4 linked regions of the Struthio camelus genome follow. The protein of the gene in region 1 purifies or fractionates together with the protein of each later gene. This does not show direct contact. Links are inferred from orthologs where the notes say so. Each region holds a gene or a part of one and is shown in the gene's direction. Other genes may lie near its edges. The genes, in order: JUN, NFE2L2, COP1 and CREB5.

Region 1 (6,389 bases):
TCAGGAAAGGGGGGAAAAGCCCTAAAGTAATAGCTGTTTAATAAATTAGGAGCCTAGTCACCAAAATTCCCAGCTCCTTGGCTGATGGCCACGAAGGATCACTGCCTCCATACTCACGGGGCCTACTTCTGTTTTGTGATCTGTGGCACTGGGAGAATCTCAAATGGTAAAGTTGGCACTTAGCCGAAATCTAAGATGAGACTTCTGTCTTCAGCCAAGCACCTGGTCACCAATCGTTCCCACATTAGACTCAAAGAGGTGGAAAATCCCCTCAGAACAAGCAGCAATGAAAATCTGTCTTCAATTCCAGAGCCTCCTGCTACGCACAACCTTTATGACCAACTTGAGTGCCTATTGCCAGCCTGGACCAAACAACCCCTAAGTGAGTAGCAATTAACATAATGAGTGGACTGATGAGCGTCCCGCATAGCTACAGGCCTCAGCAGCAACATGTCCCTAGCAAACTGGAACGTCTAGTCCTGAAACTCCACCTTTGTAAAAGGAAGGCAGTCGGAAACTAAAACGGGTGGGGGAAAAAAAGAAAAAGAAATTAAATGACTTAAGTGAATATCTCCATCCCAATCCAACACTCACTGAAGCTAATGAAAACCTTGCATTGATACTGGGGGGGGGCTGAACTGGACCAACCATAAGGGAGTAGTTTTTCAGATTACACACAAATTTATTAAACAGAGCAGTTAAAGCTACAGTGACCACACTCCAGATTTGTAGTCTGGACTTGGCTTTCTAGGACAAAATAGACTTACAGAAAAAAACAAAAACACAAACTGAATAGACAGAACTCTGACAAATTAAATATGTCAACAATTCACTGGAATGAACTTAATTAGGATTATTTGCCTATGCCAAAAACTGACCAAAGCAAATGATTTGCACAGGTTTCCTATGTAACAGAAACCAGGGGGAAAAAAAAAAAAAAAAAACTTTTCAGCTTAATTTAAAAATTATTCTTATTCCATAATAAAAAACTGCCACACAACAAACTACTTAAAATTCCTGTCTTACCTTTCTCCAGAATTTCTTCCTTGCACAGACAAGCCCTTTATAAACATCCAAATTGTACACTGACACAACACAGAGAGATCATTTACAGTATATCTCGGGGGGGAGTTTTAAAGCAGCAAGAACGTAAGGACAGCCATATCAGGTCCAACTAGATACCCTATCTCTTCACAGTGGCCAGCAACGGATACCTAAAGAAGCATATAAAACCAGGGAAAGCACACAGCAGTTTTGCCTCAGGATGCTCTCACAGACACAAGTCATTTGCAGCTTTGGGGTTTCCAGAACCAGAGACGTATTGCATTCAAGAGCCCTTAAGGGATTTTTCTTCTGCAAATTCATCTAATCACTTTTAAAGCAACGAAAACCTTTAGCATGCCAAGGAGCTCCACAGCTTAACGACGCATTCTGTGGAAAAATTTTGCTGATTTGTTCTGAACCTACTACCTGCCTACTACCTTTGATTTGATGCCCCTTGGCTACTGGGTCAGAAGAGTCAGCGACTGGCCTCCATTTATCCTATACATAAAGATTAAAAAGGAGCTAAAGAGCTGCATTAATGAATTTAAGAGATTTTCTTATGCATATGCAGTAATTCATGCTGTTTTGCAAAACAGTATGCAGCTGAAACTACAGTGGTAGTCGAGTTGTTCTGCGCAACCTGCCACGCAGACATGTTGCCTACGTGAAGATAGCATGTATACCAACAGCATACAGAAGGCCACTAATTCAAGGGCAAACTTTGTAATTTATACTATGGATTGTTAACACAAACGTACTAAGAACTGCAACTGGTATTTGCATAAAGCCAATCAGCTTACAAAGTAACAACAGTGCTGACCATGTGGTCAAATGTATATACTGACTGAAATCAGGTGGGAACACTAGGGGGAAAACAGCAAAGAAAAATAAACAGCAATAACTTAAGAACAGTGGAGTTATATGTTCACTTTTATTTCACAGCTGCTTTTGCTTCTGTTTGTTTCATTATTGTTTCCTATACTGTAACTGGTAATTATGTCATTACGTCTAGGGGAAAAAAAAAATAGGACAGAAGAATTTGAAAGTGTATTTTCAAACCTAGACATAAGTTTGTTGGCTTTACATACTATAAAAAGTGATTCAATTCTGCAGACCACCCTGCAACAGAAAACTTCTTTTACAAGTGTAAGGAACTGCTGCACCACTCACATGATACTGTACACCTCTTCAGTCCCTGTCCTACCCTGTATTGTCACTGTCCATCCTTAAATAGCAGCTGCACTTTATCCCAGAGGTGGCTGCATGTCAGCTTTTACAAATTCACACCACCCGAAGAGAAGAGGGTGTGCGGCAGGGTGAGGAGGGGGAAGGTCAGGAAATGAATTCAGGCAGTAAGGCACACCCTTTTATTAGAGAGATACACTAAACTAATACATGCAAGTCTCTCATAAGACTAGCTACGATAAACTAGGTATTAGCCAGCTGTTGCTCTAGAAAGAGCATGTCAGCACAGACTTGACGCTCCTTGCTTAGGGCCCTTCAACTCCCCCCCCCCCAACCAACCTGTACTTCCACAGTAATATTAGGACACTCTAAAATTAGGCTGTCGTTGTCCCCTCCCCTCGGAGGATGAGTTCAGAGAAGCCCATCTGGAACTAGGTTTTTTCCTTGTCTTTTTCGTTTGGTTTTGTTTTGCCCCCTCTATCTTTCCGGCAAGTCCTGAGCCCAGGAATTGACGCCACCGACTAAGATAATGGCAATCGCGCCCTTACTTGCATCCCCACCTCTCCCCCGCGGCCATCACGAGCTATTAGACAAAACGCGCGTAACCGCGTCGTAGGGCTAGTGGCGGGCAGGGCCAGGGCACGGGGGCAGGCCGGGGGGCCGGCCCGGCCCGGCGGACACCCCTCCGACCGCCAAGGGGCCGTTCCCGGGCCGCAGGGGCCCCCCGCCCCGTGACGCGGGCGGCCGAGCCGCTCCCGGAGTCCCTCGGCGGCCGCCCTCCCCCCGGCGGCGGCGGCGGCTCGCGGGGCCCGGCCCGGAGGCGAGGCCGCGGAGGAGGCGAGGCCGCGGAGGAGGCGACGGCGCGGCCCCGGGGCGCCCCTCCGCGCCGGCAGGGCGGGCCGAGGCGCTGGGCCGCGTGGGCGGCGGGGAGCGCCGCAGGCGCGTGGGCGGGGGCCGCCCCGCGGCGGTTTGTGCCCTCCGCGGCCCCGCGCGCGCAGCCGCCTCGGCCCGGGCGCCGCCCCCAGCCCTGCCTGGAAGCCGCCCGGGCGAGGGGACGGCGGGCAGCAGGGGAAATCACGTGAGGGTTCTCCCCCCCGCCGCCGCGGAGCACCGGGAGCGCCACCTTAAGGGCCGTACCACCCGGCGGGGGAGGGCGCGGCCACGGCCAGGGGCCCCGCCGGCGCAGGGCAGAGCGGCGGCCCGCCCTCACCCCGCCGCCGAAACAAAACACAAGTCTAAAAAGCGGGGGGGGAGGGGGGGAACAAACGGCGGTTTAACAGCGGCGGCTCCGGCGCGGCGGGTAAGTCGGTACCTGCCCGCCGCCACCCCCCTCCGGCCCGCGGTTGGTACCTGACCGTTAAGGAGGCGCCCCCGCCCCGCCCGCCGCCGTCCAACCCGGCGCGAGCTCTGGGAGCGGGTAACCAGATATTCAAAACAATACGTCAGCCCACAATGCCCCGAGCCGCCGCCAGCATTACCTCATCCCACAAGGCCCCGCGCCGGCGCTGAGAAGCTTCTAGGGGCGGGGTGGCTATGGAGACCGGTTGATATGCAACAGGCCGGGCCAGCGGCCCGCCTCCCCCGGGAGATGCGGCGGCAGCCAATGGGGAGCCCGCGGGGTGACATCATGGGCTATTTTTAGCGGGTTCCCAGTCGCTGATAAGTGAAGGCTCCACGCCGGGACAGGGCTCAGAGCGCGCGGGGCGGGCGGCAGCGCGGCGCCAGCGCGGAGCCGGGTACGGCACGGCACAGCACAGAGCACGGCCGGCAGCGGCTCCGCCGAGGGGAGCGAGCGGCGAAAGGCGAGGGAGCTCCTGCGCCGGGGACGGCGGCTTCCGCGGCCGGGGAAGTACTTGTGGCAACTTGTGGCGGCGGCGCGGCGCGTCCCGTCCCGTCCCGGCGGCGGCGGCGAGCGAGGCGCCCCGCGGCACTGTTCCGTCCCTCCCCAGCCCCGCGGGGCCAGGCGGGCTCCCTGCGCGGCGGCAGCGGCGGCGGGAGGGGGCACCAGCCCGCCCGCGCCCCGGCGAGAAGCGGCGGCGAGCCGGGCTGCGCCCGCTGCCCCGAGCCGCGCGTGGCCGGGCCGCGGAGCCCGAGGCAGCTGCGCTAACGCCAACTTCCTCTGAGCGGGACGCGAGCGCCGGCGCCGGCCGAGCAGCTTCTCTCCGCTGATCGCAACTTTGGTACAACTCCGCGGACTGTGTTCTATGACTGCAAAGATGGAACCTACTTTCTACGAGGATGCCCTAAACGCTACTTTCGTGCCGCCGGAAAGCGGCGGGTATGGATATAATAATCCCAAAGTGCTGAAGCAGAACATGACTCTGAACCTATCCGATCCTTCCAGCAACCTCAAGCCTCACCTGAGGAACAAGAACGCAGATATCCTCACCTCCCCCGATGTCGGGCTCCTCAAACTGGCGTCGCCTGAACTGGAAAGGCTCATCATCCAGTCCAGCAACGGGTTAATCACCACCACTCCGACCCCAACGCAGTTCCTCTGCCCCAAAAACGTTACTGACGAGCAAGAGGGGTTTGCGGAAGGCTTTGTGAGAGCTCTAGCCGAACTGCACAACCAGAACACCATGCCCAGTGTTACCTCTGCTGCTCAACCTGTTAACAGTGGCATGGCACCTGTGTCTTCTATGGCTGGCAATAATAGTTTCAATACTAATTTGCACAGTGAGCCTCCAGTGTATGCCAATCTCAGCAACTTCAACCCCAACGCACTCAACTCTGCACCTAACTACAATACAAACAGCATGGGCTATGCACCTCAACATCACATAAACCCCCAGATGCCAGTGCAGCATCCCAGGCTTCAGGCTTTGAAAGAAGAACCTCAGACTGTACCTGAAATGCCAGGGGAAACACCTCCCCTGTCCCCTATTGACATGGAGTCACAGGAGAGAATCAAAGCTGAGAGAAAACGTATGAGAAACAGAATTGCAGCATCCAAATGCCGGAAAAGGAAGTTGGAAAGGATTGCCAGGTTGGAAGAAAAAGTGAAAACTTTGAAAGCCCAGAACTCAGAGCTGGCATCCACTGCCAACATGCTCAGAGAACAGGTTGCACAGCTAAAGCAGAAGGTCATGAACCACGTCAACAGCGGGTGCCAACTAATGCTAACACAACAGTTGCAAACTTTTTGAAGAGACTGACTTGAATAAGAACTATGATACCGTGGTAGAACTAAACAGAAAACCAAAAGTGGCAGATACATAAAGCTAATGGTAAAAGCTGAAAGGTTGAGTCCTGCCTGTGCTCCGCAAAGCGCATGTGTGGAAAGACTGGCAAGCCTTCAGCTTGAGTTAGTAGTGAAGCAGTCAGCACCGCTCCAAGAAGTGCTGTTCCTGCTCAGATGAGACGTCAGATCTTCGTTTAACATTGACCAAGACCTGCATGGACCTAACATTCGATGATCATTCAGTATTAAAGGTTAAACTGCAATAGAAACTGTAGATTGCTTTCTGTAGTATTCCTTAAGAGAAAAAAAAAAAAACACAGTGGGAGGGAGGTTTGTGGGAGGCTGATCAACAACAACAAAAAAAGAACCATTCTGCCTGCCTTCAAGTAAATTGTGTATGTACATATCTTTTTTTATTTTATTTTATGAAAGTTGATTAATGTCAATAAACTACTTCATGACTTTGTAAGTTATTTTTATGTTGTTTATTTGGGCACTGCCCAGTATTGTTTGTAAATAAGAGGCTTTTTTTTCTTCCTTTTTTTAGCACTCTGAGTTTACTGTTTGTAATAAAGTATAATTTTTTAATGTTTCTGTTTCTGGAAAAAAATCTAGAAGGTTCTATTATATTTAAGAAAATAAAATAATTAAAATGCATTTCCCCCTCCCACTTTTTTTGCCAGTACCTGAGTCAGGAAAATACCCTTTATTCTGACCTCAAAAGGTAGGGATTACGTTAAACTTGTAATATACAACTACAGGCATGCCCTGGAGAATGTGTGAGGAGTAGAGGGAGAAAAAACATCCTGATCCTTAAAGGAATATAACCTTTTGAATCTTCATTATGTTGCAGTTCAGAGTCTTAACTTGATTAAACTGTTTGCCATATTCTAGTGGCCCAGTTTAGAGACCTGATTTAAAGTTAAGCAGGTTGGAGAAGGGTCAAATGCCATTGCATGATATTGCCCCATGCTGT
Region 2 (7,267 bases), on another chromosome or scaffold:
GCAAAAAGGTGACAAAAGAGAGAATATATGTAAAGGCCTCTGAAGGTTGACGCAGGTCAGCTTTAGACAGGTAACAATTTTTCAGAAGCTTTATCCCTGGAACTAAACACAAAGTTTAGTTGCAGAGGTCATCCAAGGTTTGTCAGTGAGAGTGTTCCACCATAGCTTATTACACTAACGGCTGTCTTCACCGATGTTGCAGAAGTAGTGACTGGGGCACTTATACAAATGAAGATATTGTAGTCATGAGATGTCCTTGGAGCAAGTGTATTGTAGAGCCTCGGGTGATCTTCTGTGAACTATTTGAAATGAGGTGTGTGGATATATTTCTTAAAAATGTTTCATAACATTGAGTTATAGTTGCACTTATTACTTTTTCTAGTGTAGAGAGGCATTAACCAGGACTGTATGTCAGCTGAGGAGTTTTTGGAAGATTATTCCACTGATATTTGTAAAATAAGTAAAAATAAAAACCCAGCTTTTGAAATGAATAGGATTAAGAAATTAAGGATGGAAACCAGAAGTATTTTAATAGCAAAACTAGTACTATTAAAATAGTATAATATATAAAACAGAGCTGACATCTGAAACTAAGTCATACTAACTTCTGACAGCTGGTTTTCCAAATTGTTTAAGCTGAATTCTTGGCTGTAGAAATACGTATCATGTTGAGGTGTGTCATACTTTTGTAGGCTCTAGCACAGAGAATTCCTGTACAGTGGCTTTTAATATTGTGATTTTTAATTCAGTTTGGATATATGAACTGGAATCTTATAGAACTGTTGTGTCAGTTTTTCAGCTAGTATAAATTGTTGTGACTCGGTGGAATTCTGTAGTTCTGCTGAACATTCTCCAGCTGGAGCTGTGGTCCTTTATCATCTGCCACCTCAGGAATCTAGTCTGCGCAAACCACTCTCGGGAATCCTTGCTCATCTGATAACCAGTGTGGACATATCTCATCATGTCTCAGTTTCTTCTGTTGGCAAAATGAAGAATGGCACTCACTTAAATAATGAAACTATAATGGTGATCTAACAAATCACTGAAGTATTTTAGATTATCCTGAAAATGTCTGTGTTACTAAGATCAGAGACATAAAATTATTTTAAATGCAAAGTGGAATAAACCTGAGGATGAGTATATTTAATAAATCATGTGTGTATATGTGGCATATATGATGAACAAGGTCTTATAAAATGCAAATAGTAATGACAGAATGAACACTTAATATTTGACTGAATAGTGATTTACCCTAACAAGATATCTGTGTCTCATTATGTGAATTACTGTGCTATAGAGAAATTTTGGAGTTTTGTGATTTTTTTACTGACAGCTTGCTTCAGTCTGATTTTCCAGTTGTCAGAGACAGAAAACTGTTCAGCCAGGATCCAAACCTGAAATTCTTTGAATTCTGTATTTACTGTAGATTTTAAGCGGTCATCTACAGATTAATTTTATTCCTTTTGCTTAACAAATTGATTCTAATTCTGTCTGGAAAGCAATTAAATTAATATTGCCTTCTACCAGAAAAATCAGCAGTAAATGCTGATATTAGAAACAGTCTGCCAAATAAATTTATTTTATCGAATTAGGGGATTCAGCACACAAACTTTAATTTGGCAGCAGATATTCAGGACAGTTACACTTACTTTCTATTTCATACATCAGCAAATTGCTGTCCTTCAGCTGCTGATAGATACGCCTGCAGTGTGCTGGGATGTTTCACCCTGCCTTTAGAGATTAGACACTTTCTTCAGAGGCAGCAAGGTAAGTCTGTTTCTTCTCAACCCCTTCTGCTCTTGAAATGGGATCTTTGTAAAGGATTTTCTTTTCACTTTGTTATGCCACTTAGGGTAACTTTTAAAAAAATACCTATGTCTTTCTCAAACGGCAGCTAGTAAAGCTCTCCTCAAAACCCAGCTGTAAAAGTCGTCATACAGAAACTTAGAGGAAAAGGGGTAAGCTACTTCCTTGAATCCCTAGATATAAGGAAGAAGGTGTTTTTTTCTGCAAAGGAGGCAAAAAAGAAGGGACAAACTGAATGAATTAAAAACTTTGAACATTGTTGCTAGGCTTATTCTACCATTAGAAAGAGTCTACTTTGGCTTACCAACACCACCTCTTTCCTTCCTGAACTGGGAATTTCGTGATGGACGAGAAGAGGAACAGAGAAAAGGTATCTGGCTCACATAACAAGAAGCATTAAAGAATTCAAAGGGCAATTAATCAAACGTTCTTCACCAAAATTTATTGTGATGATATGGGTGCAGGAGAAACAATGTAGACTGGAGTAAGAAGCCAGCTAAGCTGAGAAGATAAAAACAATTCCTATTTTCAAATATTGATTGCTTTTATGCCAGGATAGAAGTTGATTAGCTGTGCTGTTTCACTGAATACAGAATAATTAAAAGTCTGAAGGAAAAAGGAAGTTTAGCTCTTTCCCTAATTCTCTTGGCAACCTGTATTTTTTTTTTTATCACAGTCCAACATTCTCCTTTCAGAAGCGACTGTGGAATGCCTTATCAAACTGCAGCTGGTGGTCATGCGAGATAAAATTTGCAGCTCTAGAAAATATCTGAAATGCTCTGAATTGCCCTCTTAAACTGTTTGTATGTAGCACTCAACCAGCACGTGTCTAAGGTTTGAACTTAACTAAGTTAACATGTATTGTGTAAATACATTGCTTTATAAACGTCCAAGAGATCAGTTCATTTTTCAGATAACAGACCAAGTCATTAACTAAAAATAAATGTTTAACAGACTGCACTGAGTTGCTTTGGATTTAAAGTTTCTTGATTTTCTGTAATATACTCACAAACTGGATAGGCTTCTCTTCTTCCTCTCCTCCTCTACCCCCAAATATTGAAGGTTTGTTAAGCATCTTGACATGCACGGAAAATTTTTACTGTTTATGGATGGAAGAGGTATATTGACATGTTTATTATTCATAGAAAACAGTCTTGTTTTGGTTATCATAGCTGCTGGTAGAGTGTGTGAGGGGACACACATCGGGAATAGGCTTCTACCTTGATTTCCTAGGTACATCTGTCCGTTTAATCAGTAGGCTGAAAGAGGCAGGCCTGTCATAACTGACTTCTTTTATGGTAGTGGAAAAGCCACATAGCTGACTCCAGGAGGATCCAGGAGGCAGGGAGACTCCTATCTACGCGAGAGGCAGACAAGGAGGCCACAAGTAAGGTGGTAGGAAGTAGAGGCTGTTGATTTGTGTGGAAAGAGTGAGTTATTGATGGTTGAGTTTAGGGGGGTTTGTTGTTCTCTGGAGGGTTTCAAGCATTATTGCATTTATATAATTTGGTAAGAAATATGAAACAGTTTACTTTGGTTCATGTCTTGGAATATGAGTTAGCCCCTTTTGCTTTCGATTTATAAATTGAATAATGAGCAGGACTTCAAAAAGTAAGGGTTGGGTTGCACAACACAGAAACAAAGCTTTGCTTTCTAATAGCGTTACTCAGTTCCTAACTGGGTTTACCTTTTCTTTATGCAAATGCTGTCATCGTAGACAAAAATGATAAATTGGTGCTTGGACATCTGCTGTGCCTTTCTTGACCTTTCTGGTTTAATGGTTTTAACCATTCAGGGCCTTTAAGTATAAGAGCTTTCTAAAAATCTAGTGAGGAAGGGTTGATAATTTTTAACAGGATTGTTCTTTACTGAGAGATATGTGAACTTCAGTGTTTAAGAAAATGAGCAAAGAAAATCTGACCTTTCCTCATTATAGAGAAAAACAATTCTCATCATGTATTTTGGTATGGCTGAAGGAAGCTGGGAGGCTGAGCAAACTCATTTTGTACAAAGTTAGTAAGGATTTCTATGCTGTTTCTTGTAAATTTAGGAAGAACATTTTTGATTACTTCGATAGTGCACAGTTGAACAATATAGTTATTTAATGATGCTTATCTGAAACTGAAGCATGTCACTAATGAAAGCTGTGCATAGTAAATTGAAGCATGTCACTAGTGAAGGCTGTGCATAAATAAACCATTTAATCATGAATTACTTGTTTTGAAAGATGAACTGTCACCATAGCAAAAATTTGCCACACAGGGAACCCTGTTTCCCAAATCTCTTAAGGTCCTGTAGCGTCAAATGTGAGCAATCGAATAGCAATGTATTTTCGGCTTTTTTCCTGTTTTTTATTCCTCCACAGAAATGGAACAACCTGTCTAAGTGTATTTGAAGTTGAACACTTTATTTAAAAAAAAAAAAAAAAGGAAAATGAGCTGTGCTGAGCTTTTCCCTTCATCATATGCTTGAGGGCAATCAGAAATACATAGTTGCCACTTATTTCTCTGATATAGTATTACATTGAACACTACTTATTTCTGTATTCAAAACTGTGCACTGGCACTGAATTCCCATCATTCATATGTATAAAAGTAATGTATGTGAAGAGTATGCATTAGCTGCAAGACTGATCCACAAAGGAATTAAAGCACCTGTGCCCCACAGATTGCAGCGGGGGGTAGGCTCTAAATACCCTGCTGGATCTGGGCTGGGGTACACAGAGCATGTCACAACTGACCACTGGAGCAAACTGTAATCCCTGCAAAGTTACTATGTAGTTACTGTATGTGTTACTGTGTGCTATGTGCAGTAACTATGTGCGTTACTGATTGGCTCATTTTCTAGGACTGTACTGTAAAAGTAAAGAGGCAGAAGAAAAAGAGGAGGAAAATGTAGAGCTTTTGCCTGAGAAGACTATGTGGAGTGGATGTATCAGATATCAGTGCCATTGGCAAATTCTGTTGTCCAAATTGTATTTGCGTTTGTAGAAAACATTACAGTGCTGCATTTAAAAATAACATAACTCCTAAAGCAGTGAATTTACTTCAAAGTTACTAATCCCAATAGAACGGCAACATTTCTCACTTGTGTCCATGTCCGTGAATTGCAGGCTGTTTTGAGGACCAGGATGACAGTCCAGTTTGTCTCAGAAATAAAAAGGGTATTGGGGTTTATGACTTATGTCAGTTTTCTCTGTCTGCTTTTTCTGTTGCCCAGTTGGAGTGCCTAAAAGTGTGCATACCTCATTAATGTTCTCTTAGTGGAGTATTTTTAATATAAAACAAACTCTGCTCTCTTTTTCCTTTAAACTCCTTTCAATTATTAATCTTTTTATTCTTAAGCTTTTATTCTTAAGATAATACTTCTAGGCTCGTGAGGTGTTTGTGTGGTGAGCTCTCTTCATTTAAAAGCATGCTTGCTCTTTTCTTTGTCAGCTCAGTTTGGAAGTATGGAAGAATGTCCTTGATTCAGCCTTATGAAGTAAATATGTATGTTACTGAATGAGGGCTGATAGATGTGTGCTGGCATACAGTTAGTAAACCTCAACGCTCTTCTAACCCACACTGATATTCCAGTTGCTTGCCCACGACCAACAGCAATAAAAGTAAGTTGCTTGTGAGATCAGTGAAGTGAAACTTGGTGAGAAATGCTTCTTGTAATACTAGAACACGCTATTTCCGCACCCAGGCAGTAGTTTAGCTGTAATAACCCATCTGGTGCCTGTCCCCGCGACCTGCCCAGCCAGCAGCAAAATGGCAGCTAGAAATAGGGGCTTTGTAGTAAGAGATCCCGGTGCAGTGACAATGTGCAGTTCAGCTAAGATTCTAAATAATCTTTGAGAACATTTTGATCTAAGAACAAATGCACTATGTTTTCATGTTTGGCTTGAAATATGCCTTTCCAAAAAGTGGGTAATCCTAGTGACATTAAAACAGTGGCCATGAAGTTATAACCTGAGGTTAATATAACCTAATAAACAGATTATTTGCGATTTTATTAGATTCCATTCTCTGTTTCTGTGTTCATCTTTTTTACTTCCTGATGTGTTTCGCTGGCTGTAAGAGCATGCTATTGTTTGACTGGATCATGTTTCCCAGATGACTGAACCATTATTATAAACAAATCCTCTCCTAGATAAACTAATGGGTAGCCTGTGGCAATGTCCACACACAGTACATGCCTGGCAGGGTACGGCAGGATAGCTTGAAGATAATCATTTAACAGGTAATTGTTTTCCAAATACCATAAGTTCAATATATAAAATGGACTGGGATGCAAAGGCTTATGTGTTCCTTTGGTTAAAAGGTCAGTGGTATTTTTAGATGCTGGTTAAATTCAAGTACGTATTTTTTGTATTATTTGTTTACAGTAAAAAATCCTGGCCCTTCATGTAAAAATAACCAAATTCAATAAATGCCAGTTTTGTTATGGTGCAGTTTTGAGTTTAACTTGGGAGAAAAAACAAATAAAGCTATTAAGACCAACTTTTCCTGAAATGAAGCAGACTTCTGTCTGAGATGGCTGCTATTTGAATACCTTTTAAAATGGAGTTACACGATGTGTCCAGTACGTGGTGGTTGTACAGCAGCTAGAAAGTAAGCCACAGTAGAATCACTCAGTTTATTTGCTGGGGCAGCAGGGCAGATTTTTGTTGATGCATCAAGCATGTACAAACAAATATGCAGGCTAATGCGCTCTTTTCTAAAACAATCTCATCTTTTTGCCAGAGCCTCCCAATTTCATTATGCAACTTGTGTATTAACTTTGCGCACATAAGTGCGACTTAATCGTTTTGTAATCCTACTGATGAAAGATACAGTAAAGAAGTAGCAAATAAATATCTCTGTTAAGCTGAAAGAGGGATTCAGAATGTGAGCAGAAGTTTTTATCTAAACCTAAAAGATGTATTTAACTCAAAGAGGAGTGGACTCAATACGTTGATGTGTTCAGTTCTAATCAAGTGGTAGTATTACTTCACTAATCTATCTCATCACGAATGTTGAGACTAGATAAGGTTCACAACCAGAACTGGGATTGGAACCACGCATTTTTATACTAGCCAAGTAAACTGTGGAAAAGTAAAATTAGATTTTTCAAACAACGTGGTTTTTTGTTTTGTTTTGTTTTTTTTTAAGATGTTGAGGGAGACTCAATCTCCATAGCATTCAGCCCCTGGAAGGCACATCCGCTATATTAAAATTGTGTTATTTTAAAGCTACCTGCTAAAATACACATTGATTAAACAATTTAGGACAACCTGGCTACTTTTGGAGCGTATGAAATAGAATGCCAAACGATCTTCTGCAGAGAGATACTGAGCAAGAATGCCCTGATCTAGCTGCTGTTTCAGAAATGGCCAGTCAGCTAAAGGCAGACCGAATGTGGTGGAAAAAGGAAATATGTATATATTTCTGGCTCTAGAGATTAATGAGCCAGAGAGGAGAATGTCACTCCTGCT
Region 3 (7,368 bases), about 29 Mb from region 1:
GGCCACTTTAGAAGACCTGAAGGATGTAGCTTGTGGTGAAGGGACCAGACCGCTCCCAGATACCAAGAATTTTTTTTAAGGATCAGAACTTTTTTGATACAATGGTAAATGTTAATATTTTATTTTCCTGCCTCTCCATTTCTTAAAATGGCCAAACCGCTTTTGTTCAGAGTCTCTGCAATTACTTGGAATTAGGCCAAGGGCTAATGCATAAAGTTCCATCTGGAAGTGGTAAAGTGTTGTTATAAAGAACTGAAAAAAATCCTTTGCTAGTAACCGTGCATAACTGTAACTATAATAAATATCACTAAGCACCCTAAGTTGAGGGGAAGCCCTCCACGCTGGGTGCCAGGGCCTGTCTGATCATGCCCTCCAGATCCCCACATCTCTGGGTCGGGCTTCTTGAGTTCAAGTTTGGAAACTCATGTCCAGGTTTCTCCCAGTAAATAGGGGAAGGAGGGTACCTAACAGGTAGAAACTGCATCTTCTGGATAGCTCTGCTGCAGTTTTGCTCGAGGAGAAGTTGCTGACAGCCTAATTTTCAGATTTATGGAGCATTAAGAGTTCTCATCGACTCTGTAACCAGGTGAGGAATCCGTCCATGCTTCATTTTCTTTGGCTAGAAAATGGGAGAAATGGCATTCCTGTCACTGGCTAGCTGGGAGGTTAAAGCTCTCTAAAGCCCTCTGGAGCAGCAATTCCCAAGCCAGGGGTGGCAGGTCATAGCAGCGTTTGCAGCACTGCTGAGTGGACTAACAGACCCAGTGGGAATTAGGTGGCAGCAACGGCCTCAGAAATGGAAGCGTACGGAAGCGTATGGAAGAGTAATTTCCATAATGAGTCACTGGCAATCAGGAGCCGAGCCTGGAGGGGACTGTCACTTCCCACAAACATCTGGCACACACACCCTTTGACGTGGAAAAAGTCGCCGTCCCCCTGGTGACCACATGCAGCATGTTCTCAATTATTTCTCTGGCTGGGCTAGCAGCAGGCATGAGCACTGCAACTGCCTGTTGTTGTAGGTGAATGGTAAATGGAGGTAAATGGAGATGTTGTCGTAAAAGTCACAGACTCAGGGTTTATAACAAGTAGGATTTATGTACCCAGAAGGGCAGAACCTATATTGTTCTTAAGGTTCCTTCAACTATAGACACTATCTGTCTATTCCTTCCTTTAGAGCTGGTGCATCCCTCCTCGCACAGGATAAGAACTAATACACCACTGTTCAGGCCATGGTCAGCAATCAGCTTTGGAGGCTGGAAAATAGAACCATGTAAGAGAAAAGTCTTCTAAAATGTAGAGGCTCTGCACAGATTTCCAAAACAGGAAAGTGCAGGAGAACGTCTCTGTCATATTGGAATTTACTTCAGCTAGGTCTGCAGAGTGAGTAATTACATCTGACCAGAGGTGGGAAATGTCTCTTTCACAAAAGCGATCACTAGACCTACGCTGGCTTGGTACAATACAATCAACTGGAGTTTCAGAGGTAGAGGAAAATCTTTATTATGGTGTTCCTGCAGACCGACACCTGCAGCCAGTCCCCCAAAGCCCCAAACAGTATCAGCCTACTGTGTGCCGGCACCCAAGAGCTATTATTGAATTCCTTGCATTACTCCCAGAGTATCGCTGACAGTATGCACGTCTATTAGAAATATCAGTTTCATTGTATAAAACAAACTCGCCACTAAAGGCTAGGGCTGGAGACAGTTTATCCCACAGTAACTGTCTATTTTGTTTTTTCTCTAAGTTTCAGGGCAGTGACTAACAGTTCTTGTTTACTGCCTGGGCAAGAGGTGCTTGCCTTGCTGTGATCCGCATGCCTTCAAAGGCACACAGGCCCAATGACTAGTTCTTGAGGAGGACATACGAGGGTAATATCCAGATTAAGTGAGGAAACACAAGCAATCCATTGAAGGCAGGTTTGAATCTGAACAGGAATCTAGGAAGAGTGTGCAATATAAGGGTGCGGATATCTCTGCACCGGGCCTCTCGTCACCGCACTAAACCCAGCACCATAGTTTTGCTTAAGTATGGGATCTCAACCATGAGGCAGCGTAAGCGTCCAGCATGCTGCTAACTGGAGGAAACAGCGAAAAACCTCTTACAGCTAATCTATAATATTTTCCTTTTGTATCTCTGCCTTTGAGCCTAATAACAGCGTTGTCAATATTTAGACGGTAGTAAATTAATTCTTAGTGCTCATGTTGTGCTAGCGGGGACTGGAAGATAACCGGCGCTCCACAGCGCTTGCTGTGGTGAACTTTAAAACCAGGAGACTTGCCATGCCCTTTATTCCAGCACAATGCACAGGTGTCGCCGAGAGGTAGCATATAATCTTCCCTTAGGATGCATAAATTGGTCTGGGAACTGGTACTGCAAGGTAACCCCAACAAAGAAACGTTTCGGATGCAGGAGCCAGAGGCTGTTCAGTATATATCAGGGCAGAGAAGAGAAGGTCTTAGCTTCAGGGGCCTCCGAAAGTCCACAGTGAACTCCTAAAAGCTCGAGTATTGGGGAACTGATCTTTTGGTGCTGTGTGCTGGGTTTCACACTCTCTACCAGCCGTGGGGGTGGAGATGTGGCTGTTGAGCCTAACTACACATGGGCAAAAGTGGGCATGATTTGGCCCCTCCATTTCTTTCATATTTATGTTGGATTTCCACTTCTGAATGTTTGATCTTTAAAGGCTTTTCTCTGCGTCATTTTTTTCTCCCTGGAGCTCAGAAAGTAACATGAAGTACCAAAGAATAGCTAGACTTTTCAAAGACCAGCCAATATTTCACTAAACATGAAGCATGTAGACGTGTTATTGCCTATACTACTACTACTGCTACTTTGTTCTTCCACTGGAAAATCTGACAGTCCTTTGCAGACACTCATCCACAAAGCTTTTCCTCCCTCTGGAAGACAAGGACACGGTGCTTTTCTTTCTCTTAGCAAAAGGAAATATGAGGCACACAGACATCAACAGTTGGGCTCAAAGAAAGGTATTTAGGCACTTCTCTTTAACTCCCACTGAAACCAGTGGGAACTGATGTGTTTTAATGACTTTATGGAGTTAGTCCTGTGACTTGCCAAGGTCAGGAGGATATTTATAGAAGGTAGCGGAACAGAATCTTTTGCTTTGAAAAAACACACCAAGAACTACAAACAGGAAACTTTCAATTGCAGCAGCACAGGTTTCAATTACAGAAGTGACTATAATGGCACGTTATCTTGTAGAGGTGAGGCTACTAATCTGAACGATAAGGAGAAGCTTCCTTAGAATTTCCTGGCTTGCACTGATTTATTCTGTACTAACATTCTGCAGACAGACTGTTTTGGTTTTGTTAGACTGTTTCTGGGTGTGTGGGGTTTTTTTTTGTTTGTGTGTTTGTTTTGCAACATTAGGGGTAAGTACACAGAAGCAAATACCTTAAACGTATTTAAACAAGCTTGGAAGGGCAGGTCAGTGACAAGCCCTCCAGGACTGTCCGTGTGCATCAACCCCTCCACATTCAATCCAAGTGCTGTGTTTTGCTGCGCCCTTTTTGGGAAAGCCAGGCGTTCCCGCTGCTTGCCAGAGACTTCTCCGGACCAGCAATGCCTACCTGCAGCCACCTTTTTCTCTCAGACCAGTTTTACCAGCTCTCCTGCTGGTTTTACGCCTGACTGCAGGTGCGCTCGGCCACCTGCGCTCCCAGGACTGCCGCAGCGCGGATCTCTCCGGGCGCTTCCCAGGACCTGGCCTTAGGATTACCCGTCCTCAGGGAAAACGCCCTAGACTTTCAGCAGCCACCTCGCACATCTCTGGGCAGGTGAAAAGCTGACAGCAGACAACAGGCTTGATGTAAAGCAGGCGGGATGCTTCTGGGGGAGAGAAATGAAAGGAGAAATCCGGTCTCTGCCCGCAGCTCTGCCTCCTCGCCCGCCGTCGGGCCAAGCCGAGAGGCGGCAGCGGCCTGTCACCGAGGCCCCTGCCTCAGGCCGGGCCCCGCCGAGGGCCCGGGGCTGGCGCCGACGCGGCCCTCAACCCCTGAAGGCAGCGGGGGGCGGGTAAAGGGAATTTGTTTCCTTTTATAATTCGTGAGCTCCCGTGTGGAGACGGTGCCGTCCGGCGGCGCCGAGCAGGCCCTCAGCACCGCCGCCGCCGCCGCCTCAGCGCCGGAGCAGGCCCCGCCCGGCGGCGGCGCCGCGCGCATGCGCGAGGCAGTGTTCGCCTGTCAATAAAGATTCAACAAGAGGCTAGCGGAGAGGGAGCACGCGCGGGCGTGGGGGCGGCGGCGGTTCCCTCCCCCCCCCCCCCCCCCCTTCTTTGAACGAACTTTATTGTTCCCGCGGCGCCGCGCGGGGATGCGCTGAGGGGGCCCCGCTCCGCCCGGCCTCGGCATGTCGGGCAGCCGCCCGCCGCCGCCGCCGCACCCCGCCGCCGCCGCGCCGCCCGCCGCCGCCGCCTCCCCGGCCGCCGCCTCCTCCTCCTCGGCCATGGCGCCGGGCTCGTCCTCCTCCTCGGCGGCGGCGGCGGGCGGCGCGGCGGCGCGGCCCGTGCTGGTGGCGGCCGCCGTGTCGGGCTCGGGCGCGGGGCTGGCGCGGCTGGCGGCGGCGGCGCGGCCCGGCGGCGGCGGCGCCTCCTCGGCGGGCGGCGGCGGCGGTGGTGGCGGCGCGGGCGGCGGCAGCAGGAAGAGGCCGCTCCTCGCCCCGCTCTGCAACGGGCTCCTCAACTCCTACGAGGACAAGAGCAACGACTTCGTGTGGTGAGCGCGGGGGAGGGGAGCGGGGCGGTGTATCGCGACATAGCGGCGACACGGCGCCCCCTTTCCCGCGGGCGTCGCGGCCTGCTGCGCGCGGCCGGGCCGCCCCGGGGCCGCCGCCGAGAGCGCTGGCCGGGTCTGGGGGGGCCCCGCGGGGGGGCCCTGCCCGGCTCGCCGGGGTGGAAGGTGTGTTGGGGTCTGTAACTGTCCTGCAGGGATTTCTGGCTCTCCCCCCTCCTCCCCCGCCTTGTGACTGTGTTTGGTTGCTTTTTTGGCTCTTTGTATCAGTGTTGTGATGCGTGTGTGTCTTTGTTTTTTTTTTTGTTTTTTTAAAAAACAAAAACAAACAAAAATTCAGGTTAGTCCCAGAAGGTTCCTGTCTCGTTCGGCGGGTTAAGCCTCAGCGCAGCGGAACTTGCGCTCGTTGGAAAGGGCCTGCGACGCTAAGCGGTTTTTCATAGCCTGTTGACATCGCAAGCAAATGTTTCTTTTTTCCTTTTTTTTTTTTTTTTTCTCCCAGGCAGTGTAGCCTTGAAAAGGACTAGAGCAGCTCCAGCCTCTTGCACGTGCGATGGCCTCTCTGGAGGGAGGCTAGGTCTTCTTACTGCCCCTTTATGACCTTATGAAAAGAAAGAGTCCTCAGAGGACTTCTGTGCTTATGCAGATGAGGATCTGAAAATAAGTCCCCTGGTCACTGATATTGGAGGCAGTTAATAGTGCTCACAAAATTGGCATGAGTTTTTCCTCTGTTGCTGGGAAAGGACAGCTAACTTGAAGTAATAATAGTATTTGTATCAGGTATCGATCTGTCATCTAAAACCAGATGAGTAGAAACTTTCTGCGATGATGGGATAAAGATTTTCCTTGAAGCCATTCAGATGCTGTTTTTCTAATGTTTGGCCAAAACTGTATGTTGTAATTGGTAATAACTTTTCTGCAAAAGTGGTAGGCCTCGCTATATTTGGTTTGAGAGCTGTTGGTAATATGCAGCTTTAAAAAGATGCTATTGCTTATGGGCTTCAAACCTCCTGACATAAGGAGTAAGTTTAATTTTATATATGACTAGATGTATATTAAAAACGCAAGAACAGAAAATGAGGGTAGGTGGTAGCATCTGAGAGAGATAAACACTGATGAAGAGATATTAGAAACAAACTTGTTTTATTGAAAAGTCACATATGTGAAAGAAATGATTAAAAAGAAAAGTGGATAAAAGTAGGTAACAGCTTCCAAGACCGTCTTGTTTGCTCATTCTAACTTTTGGATGCAGATTAGGTATTCGGCATCTCCACAGGAGAGGCACTCTAGCAAAACCTGGCAAACTTGATCTTGCAAACCTTGTAAACCCTATAGGAGACTAGATGGGAAATATAATCCCTGTTACTAGAAGGAGAACCTGAAGCTGCTGAAAAGCTAGTCACCGAAAGAAGAGCAACAAGCAATAATCAAGAATTCCTCCTTACCACTGTAAGTAGTGGTTTGCCCAGTAGCAGAATTAGGATTAGAGTGTAGCCTTAGTCGGCTGGCTTCCTGCTCTGCCTAAATGCTAGGCCATGATAAGTGGATTTAGGACACCTAGTTTGGGAGATGGTTGTATTGTTGTTTCTTGCATGTTTTCTGGTCGTGGGAGATAAGTGTCCCTATCTGTTTGCCTCCACTACAGTTATGCTCTGGCAGTAGTGGTGTGCAATCATTTCCTTTCCTCTTCTAGTCGGTTTTCACTTAATGTTTTCTTGCTCATAGAAATAAGGGAGTTTGAACCAGGGGGAAATTAAGTCTAGCGCAATAAGTTCTTTTCTTTTTTTTTTTTTTTGATGACAGTTGAAATGTTTTAAGTCAGTTCAAAAAGCTCAGTTTCTTAGTTCTTTTTTTCCCCACAGGTAGGTTCTGTGCAAACTTCAAAAATAACGCATATAATTAGCTCTATTCCTCTCGGTGAAGAGTGTTGCTGGCTGAACAAAGCGTGAGAAGAAAAAGTTAACAGAATAGTGATCTGGGCAAAACTTTTTTTTTTCTTTCCCCTCTCTTCTTTTTTCCTGTCTCCTCCTTACTGGTGTTCACAAGAGAACCGTGCTGGGCATATTTGCGTGCAGATCAGCAGCTTCAAGGGCAAATAGTGATTATAGCTCCCTTGTCTGGTCCTTCATTGGCATGCACTTCATTGGGCAGTGTAGCTTCTTCTTCCTTATGTTAATGTTAGCTTCAAATTACAGCATTACTTTTAACAAAAGTTATTTTTGAGGTAGCATTATATTTATGCAGTATAGAAATAAAACTCAGCTGGGTAGCTTTGGAATTTTGAGCAAGGTCCAAGAAGACAGGTGTGTGTTTGTTTAAATACTTGATTTAAATAAGCTTTGGATATTTCAGTCTGAGAGGCAAAATTTTCCCGTCTGCCATCCTCTCTATAAGGATACTTTCTGGACGCTGCCTGCTGCAGGGAGCACTCGATAATCTTTCTGAACACAGGCTATGAATTACTCTTTAGTGTTGCAACTGTAAACACTGTGATAGGTTCTGCCTGCATCAGACTGAAATTGGGAAAGAATAAAGAAGTTCGTGTGAGTTGTGTACACGAAAGCGCATGTGGAAATACTGCAAGTAGTGTTAATGTGCACAACCTGTCTGCCTGTTTCTT
Region 4 (7,535 bases), on another chromosome or scaffold:
ACTGAAGTGTTTAGTAGCATGTAAGGAGGTGAATAAATTACTGTTCGATTAGACTATAAGATATTGCTAAAAAGTACTTGTAATGAGATAATTGCAAGTGCCAAAACTGAGAGTAATGCTCAATGCTGGCAGCAGCTTAGTTAAACATGTAGTTAATGATGTTATAGGAAGAACAGGTATGTAAAATATTCAGCTGCGCCAGCAGTAAATATTAATTTTATGTGACAGCAATAGAGTCTTACTGAAACCGATATTTGACATACAAAACTCCTATAATTATTTTAATATCTTTACTTACTAGTGATTTTAATGACATGACAAAGATTTTAGGTGTTTGCTGAAACAGCACTACTGTCATTTACTATCATTCAAAGAAAATGTCATTCTAATTCATTTCACTGCAAAAGTCTGAGTAGTTTTCATACCAATTAAGCTACCACTGTAAAGACCACATCCTTCATTCTGGATTTTAGGTTTTATAATTAAAGAATCAAAATGACAAAGACCTGTCTGGAAAACATTTATTAGAACATATAATACAGATAAGTATTTCAGTAGTGATTTTGCCATCAGAAGGAAGCAGCTTTGTAAGAGCCTGCGTATAAAAATAGAAAAGAAGCATATGACTTTATAACTTCAAATTAATTATGAAACAGCATTACAGATAAAACAGGTCATGCCTTATGTAGTTGACTGCTGAATACTTTTCATTACAAGTTTCTTCAATCACTTTGAAACATTACCCAGTTCTGAAACATTCAGGATGAAGTTTTCCATACTGGGTGTCTGCCTCAGGCTGCAGTATTTTGGAAAGCTTCTTCCCAAATTTAATCATTCCAGAAACAGTATTCTAGAAAAAATAAGTTTCTTTGCTTAACATTACTCCCAATCCCACAGGTTGCCTCCTGGGAACATATAGTGCTTTTGGAGCAGGAACTGCAGAATGCTCAGCTTGTTGTCACAGGATATGCCTTTGATTAACTTCTAACATTTGCTCAAATTTGTCCCCAATACAGAGTATGTTCTCAAGTTACAGCTTGTCAGCTGAGTCGTACATTCCTGATCTGCATATGTTCCTGATCTGCCGAATAAAATATGCTAATCTAAACCACCTGTATAGGAGTTCATGTTAAAGTGTTGCTCTTCACGTTGACAACACACAAACGTGCATCAGCTCAGCTGGAAAGCAGCAACTTTGCAGGCAGGGAAGTTCCTCTTGTCATATGATCACCCCTCCGTTTGCAGCAAGGAAGATCTCAGCAATTACTGTTTTCTGAATGTTTTTTCTCCGCTCAGCATGGTCTGTCCTAAGGCTGATGGGACCGATAGAGTCTTAACTCTCCTCTACGACTAGCTGCTCAGCCACCAGGCATGAAAGCGAACGTAAAACAAAGCAAAACCAAGCTCTTTCACAGTCCTGGTCAGAGATCAGCGGGCAGTGAGAAAGTAGACAGCTTAGGATAGAGAGGAGGTTGGTAACAGGCAGAAACAGGCAAGGAGAGAGCTGCAAGAGGGATGAGAGCAACAGCAGCTGATGGCGACAAGCGAAGAAGTTAGGCATAGGAAAAAGCAAGGATACGTGACAAATATTGCAGCAGATTTACAAGAGGAACTGGAGCTTTCTTCGGCCCTCGTTCCCCTCCAGGACCTACAGCTCATTTCAGAAGTCAAGAGTCTTACCTCAGGGCTTGAGACTCATTGCAGGAATCAAGAATCTCTCTGCTCTGCTGTCAGCAAAAGCCTATGATGTAGCCACCTATCAAAGCACTGGTCATCGCCCTTCCCGGGGCTGGCAAACACAAACTACTGCTGCAAGTTACCCATTCCTTTAAGTGGTAGAAATCTGTCCAAATAGGTATGTGGCACATACAGCTATTAATCTGACCTACGTGGTGCTCTTATTTTTGAAATGTCTTTTTGCACAACGCTCTGGACAAGGTGAGAGACATGGAGAATACTCAGGTCAGGAGCTTTCAATACAAAATCAGTAAATTAAAGCACAGTGCACACTCCAAGAGGGTCCTATTATTTACTCACTATAATCTGTGTTGAAGTCACCTAGAGTCTAGAATATCACTAATAAAAAAGCATCAGCAGTTATAAATAACACGAGTTATATTACAGATAACATCAAACAATGGCTAACACTTCCTTTAGCATTTGGTTTGCTTTTACCTCTATTTTGCCGTACGTGATTCTTACTGCACAGATATCTGGACCCTACTATCCTTGAATTTTCATTCATTACCAATTTCACTCTGGTGTCACGGAGAATCCTGGCGAAAGAACTGCGCCTGCTGCGGGAACAGCCATAGCTTCCCACACCGTCGCGGCTGCCTGTCTGTAAAAAAGTGCAAGTACATAAATTGTGTGATGAAATCTGAATGAGAGACACAGAGCTGCTTCCCGCACTTTTAATCTTTTTGTCATGGCCTTAAATAACACTGCAGGGCTTTCTGTACGTTAAAACACTTCCCCTGTTGCACAAGGAGCTGCAACTATTAATTTAGTCATCTTTGTAGTTTATAATTTCAGAATGTTTAGAGGTAAGGCATTTGCAAACCTTGGCATGAGGTTTCCAAGGATAACGCTTGACAAAATGAAGGCTTGCAGCCACAGAAACACTGAGCCTTTACCATAAGTAGTTAAATGAGTTCAAAACCTATCATCAGTGATAGGATCCGTTTCTATCTGCTTAAATCCTGCATAAAGTGCCAGTGAATTGTTAAAAGCTGAGAACAACTGTTAAAAAGCCTCATAGAAATAACCCTGCAAAGGAACGGTATTATTAGGAGTAATGTGCTGTATTATTGCCATTTGTAAAGCAGTTCTGGATCTTGGCAATCTTATATTAATTACTCTCTCCTCTGCTAATTGAGTATCAGAAAGAAACAAACTGAGCAAAACATGTGCAGATCCTGAGACCCTGCGCAGACACGCAGAGGTTTCCTCTTGACTCATCCCCAGCTTGGGTGCTAAAACACTGCATCAAAATTAACTCATGCTTGCTGGCGTGAATCAGCAGTTAAACACAGCTAATCACCACGTGTGTTGTTGATAAGAGTATCTCCCAGATAACTGCAGCGCGTACAGCTCGCTGCCAGAGGAACCTGCAGACCAGAGGCACCGGAGAGGAGTATCAGGCTGAGAGTTATGAAGTACTTTACAATAAAACGCAGGCGAGGAAGGCAGTGAACTATTTCTAGGGTGGAATAATAAACTTGTCTTTGGTCATCGCCCCCACATGATTAGGAAGATATGCGTGCTGGCGGTTGCACGCCTAACATTAAGCGTTTGCAAAGCAGCGAAATGCGTCGTTAGTCCAGGTGAGCCTCTGTCCCGCGCAGCGGCGGTGCCCCGGGGTACGCCGTGGCGCCTGGGCCCTGCCGGCTGGGCACCGCGTGCCTGTCAGCCCGGCCCGGTGTGGGTGCGCACCCTCGCAGGGCTGCAGCTCTGCTGGCGCAGGTTGTCCTCCCGCTGCGACTTGGTAGCCGTTTCCTAGGTCAAAAACTAGTTAACGAGTTAAGTCTCCGCTTAGCGCAGGCCTTGCTGGCACGGGCGGGCGCCAGGCGAAGAGCAGCCACCTCGGCAGCGCCCGCATGGCCGGTGGGCTGGTCCCCACCGCCCGAACGCTGCTCCCCAGCCAGAGTCCCAGTAGCAGATCCCGCTCCTCGGTCCCAGATCTCTCGTCCCTGATCCCCAGCGCCCGGCTCCAGCGCTCCAGTAGCAGAGTCCCAGCGCCCAGAGCCCCAGTAGCAGATGCCCAGTCCCCAGCTCCTCAGGGCCCAGTACCAGATCCCCAGTCCTAGGTCCCTAGAGCGTCAGATCCTCAGTGCCCAGTCCCAGAGCCCCAGCCCCACATCTCCAGCCACCGCTCCCAGATCTCCAGTCCCCAGATCCCCACTGCCTAGTCCCAGAGCCCCGCTCCTCGGTCCCAGATCCTTCGTCCTGGATCTCCAGTGCCCAGTCCCAGCGCCCCAGCAGCAGACCTCCAGCCCCAGGACCCCCAGTCCCCAGAGCCCCCGACCCTCAGTGCCCAGTCCCAGAACTCCAGTCCCAGATCCCCAGCCCCTGGTCCCAGATCCGCAGTACCAGATCCTCCCCCACTCCTTGCTCCCAGCCCCCGGTCGCCGACCCCCAGCCCAGGTCCCAGGTCCCCCGCGCAGCCCGTCCCGCCGCCGCGGGGCCACCGGCGCAGAGCGGCTCCGCCCCGTCCCGCCCCGCCCCTGCCGGTGCCGCCCCCGGCCGCGCGGTGGCGGGACCCCGCCGGCCCGGGCTGCCCGCTGGCCCCGCCCCCGCCCCCCGCCGGCCCCGCCCCTCCCCCGCCGGCCCCGCCCCCGCCGGCTCTCCCCGCCGCCGCCACGGGGCGGGACATTGTTTCCAGGCTGACTCACCCCCTGTCACGGCCCCCGCCCCGCCCCTCGCCCCGGGGGCGGGGTCGCCGAAGCCCCGCCCCCTCCCCGCCCCGCGCGCTCGGCGCGGCTCGCCCCCCCACCCGCCCCGGCACGGACCGCAATGATTTAGAAGTTCAGGAATCCCACGTGACGTCACGGAGGGTGATGTAATGCTTCTCTAAATAGAACGTATTGTAACCTTCCCTCAGTCCAACGTGGTTCCTTCAGCCGGGCTGCTGGTCCCGTCCCTTCGGCACTTGTGCGGTAAGTTCCTAAAAATACGGGGCCGCCCGGCGCGCGGCGGTGCGCGCAGCCCCGCGCTCGCACGGCGCGGGGCAGGGATCCCTGCAGGCGGCGCGCCGCCGGCCACCGGGAGGCTGCGGGGGGCTGCTGCCGCCGCTGCCGCTGCCGCCGGCAGCATCCGCTCCGCAGGCGGGACTCGCCGCCGCTTCGCGGGGCTGCAGGACGGGGCGACGGCGCGGGGGCGTGCGCGGCACCGGGGTGGGCTGCGTGCGGGGGGCCGGCGGGCAGCGGCGGCTCCGGCGGCCGCTCCGCGTCTCTCCGCCGTGACAGCCCCGCTCTGCGCCCGCGCCGCCGCCGCTTCCCCCGGCCCCGCTCGCCGCCAACTTCTGGCCAAGTTTCGGCGCGGCGCCCCGTGCCGCAACCCCGGCAGCGGCGGGGCGGGCGGGGGTCGCCGGCGGCGCGGCGCGGCGCGGCGCGGTGCGCGGCCGCCTGCCCGCTCTGACACATCGCTGGGAACCGGGCCGGTCCGGGCCGTGACGTCATGCTGCGGGCCGGCGAGCGGCGGCGGGGCCGGCGGCGGCGGGGGGCGGCGGCGGCCGAGCGCGCTGCCCGGCCGGCTCGGCGGCCCCGCCGCCCTGCTCCTCACAGGCGTCTCTCTCTCCTCAGCGAAGTTCTCGGGACGCTAAGCGCTGCTGGAGCGTAAGGGGAATACTTGCTAAACTGCCTGCTCTATTATTTATGTCCAAGCATGGTGAGTGATCCTTCATCCCCAGGGCGTAACGCGAGCGGTACCGTCGGGAGGAGAGAAGCCGTGCAGAGCTGGGGGTACGAGTCGAGCCAAATGAACGTGCCGATGTGCCGCGTGAAAGCCGGAAGGGTATTAGGAGCCCCTTAGCCAGGCTAGAAGATTTCCCAGGTTTTATCCGTAAGAAACAGCTAGCCGAAAGTAGAGCTTGGACGGAGGGACGGTAATTTCTGAGAAGCATCTCGCTTTGGGCTTTCCTGGAGACCCTGCAGTCCTCCAAGAGACGCTCGCCCGCCGGCTGGCAGCAGGCTGTCCCTGCCCGACCCTCGGGAGAACGAGCGGTGCGTCAAGCGGTGGAGGAAAAGTTTCTTGTAAGGAGCTGTCATGCAGAAGTAAGCCAGAAAGCAGACTGAAAGAATATTAAGGGTTGGAGGGTGAGAGCCGAATGCAAAAACGTAACGTAATAACGCGGGGATTTTGCTGAACGAGGCACGCTGTTGTAACAGAATGGTTGATTTTCAGTAGAAAAGGGTACGGTGTTGAAGGTCCCCGCTTGGCGTTTTGTAACTTTCGTGTGGTGAACGAGGTGGCCGGTAGCAAAAAGCTGAAAATTCTTTAAAAAAAAAAAAAGTCTAAAATACTTGTTTGTGACTCCTTAATCCTAAGGGAGCTGTACAGGTCGCAAAGCACTGGGGAAAAGTGTGATTAATGATCAGTGATTAGTGATAAGTGATTAGTGGTTTTATTCAAACTGTTACCTCTGACCAGAAGCACACATCAGAGGATTAACAGGCTCTTTAGATAAATGCTCATTAGTGGAAGGGGGAAAGCAAAGATAATAGGCAGGCACACAGGGACAACTTTCTAGGAAAATCACTCCTGTCTCTGGAATAATAAGCTCTATTAGCAGAAAGGCTCTTTAATTTAAAAGTTGCTTTTATCTTGTAAATCAAAGTTGGATGTAGAAGTTCGCCGTGCTATTATAGCCTGAATTTTCCCATATCCACTAGATGTGGATTATCTCAGTAGTGATATTTTACCTAAAAAAACAATTGCTTCTTGAAGAAACTGAACGTTCATAAGCGCTCAAGCCCTGCATCCTAAGGTACCCACTTCTGCCAGGCAGAGCAAAGCCTGCTGGCAGCTAACTAGATGGCGCAGTCCCGTTCTTTGTGACTATATAGTCCTGGGTTATGAACTTAGCAAGTAGTAGCTTGCTAGGTGTCCTTCAGCACTTAACACAAAGTTGGTTCTGTGCTGGGTTGGAGGCTAGACAGTTCTACAAGTTTTTAGTCACATTTTCCATGTCAGTTAATCTAGCGAGTTAAAGGCTACTGGAAAAATTAGTCTCATTTTCTCAAAGAGACAGTGAGAGAAAGGAGGGAACTAGAGAGCGGCAAATAGTATAGCCAGGGACCTAGCCCTTGGTTGAACTGTTTTATTCTGATTTACTAAAATACAGTTCTGATGGCCTTAATTACTAAAGCCTAAAAGCTCTCAGTAGTTTTTCTCCCAGCTATCATTGGGAAAGGTTTGTTGTTTTTTTTTTTTAAGTCACTTGAAAGAAAGAACAGTTGGTGTGGTGGTTGAACAAAACAACTTGGACCTGACTGTACTCTGCAGATAATGGTAAGGAGTCTATTTTTGTGATAACTAATCAGGGATTTCTCATTATTCTTTATCACACGTGAATTGTGAAGGACTAGTATCTACTGCTGTCTATAGACTTAGGTTCTTTCAGCCTAAATGGGATTTATGTTTGTTTGCGTATATGGAGATCATCAAAGTTTCAAAACTTTCAATGTGTATTTGAAACACTTGAGTGAAACAGGAAACAGAAATAATGAAGTTATGGCATGAAAAAGAAACTGCTCAAGTCTCCTATTGTTACATTTTTTTAGTAGGAGACTGTTAGGAGGAATCACACTAATGTTTAAAATTAAGAAGTTTTGTAATATCGTATATAAAAAAGGCAATGAGCTCTGTCTGCTACTCTTGAATATTGGATGGCACTCTTCCAGAAGTTTAAAATTGCAAGATTTCTAAAACTTTACACATTTACAACAATCAGAATGCTCCCCCCCCCCCCCAAAAAAAAATTCTTGCATAGTATAGCTTCAGTTTATTGAACTCTACCTCTGCGAATTTAACCT

Evidence for each region.
Region 2: the proteins of JUN (region 1) and NFE2L2 purify together in Homo sapiens (affinity purification with western blotting; 4 studies listed by BioGRID and IntAct, with this or other methods). This does not show direct contact. The link is inferred for Struthio camelus from reciprocal best matches to the Homo sapiens genes JUN and NFE2L2.
Region 3: the proteins of JUN (region 1) and COP1 purify together in Homo sapiens (affinity purification with western blotting; 9 studies listed by BioGRID and IntAct, counting the BioPlex papers as one, with this or other methods). This does not show direct contact. The link is inferred for Struthio camelus from reciprocal best matches to the Homo sapiens genes JUN and COP1.
Region 4: the proteins of JUN (region 1) and CREB5 purify together in Homo sapiens (affinity purification with mass spectrometry; 5 studies listed by BioGRID and IntAct, counting the BioPlex papers as one, with this or other methods). This does not show direct contact. The link is inferred for Struthio camelus from reciprocal best matches to the Homo sapiens genes JUN and CREB5.

The regions. Positions count from the first base shown.
Region 1 is NC_090949.1:34,117,749-34,124,137, reverse strand, and holds JUN (transcription factor Jun), read left to right. Parts: upstream 1-3,924; 5' UTR 3,925-4,433; coding exon 4,434-5,378; 3' UTR 5,379-5,886; downstream 5,887-6,389. UniProt on the Homo sapiens protein: Transcription factor that recognizes and binds to the AP-1 consensus motif 5'-TGA[GC]TCA-3'.
Region 2 is NC_090947.1:20,389,147-20,396,413, forward strand, and holds the start of NFE2L2 (nuclear factor erythroid 2-related factor 2), read left to right. Parts: upstream 1-4,257; 5' UTR 4,258-5,323; coding exon 5,324-5,413; intron 5,414-7,267.
Region 3 is NC_090949.1:5,435,664-5,443,031, reverse strand, and holds the start of COP1 (E3 ubiquitin-protein ligase COP1), read left to right. Parts: upstream 1-4,368; coding exon 4,369-4,733; intron 4,734-7,368. UniProt on the Homo sapiens protein: E3 ubiquitin-protein ligase that mediates ubiquitination and subsequent proteasomal degradation of target proteins.
Region 4 is NC_090943.1:39,813,258-39,820,792, forward strand, and holds the start of CREB5 (cyclic AMP-responsive element-binding protein 5), read left to right. Parts: upstream 1-4,531; 5' UTR 4,532-4,658; intron 4,659-5,303; 5' UTR 5,304-5,375; coding exon of another isoform or gene 5,376-5,385; coding exon 5,386-5,388; intron 5,389-7,535. UniProt on the Homo sapiens protein: Binds to the cAMP response element and activates transcription.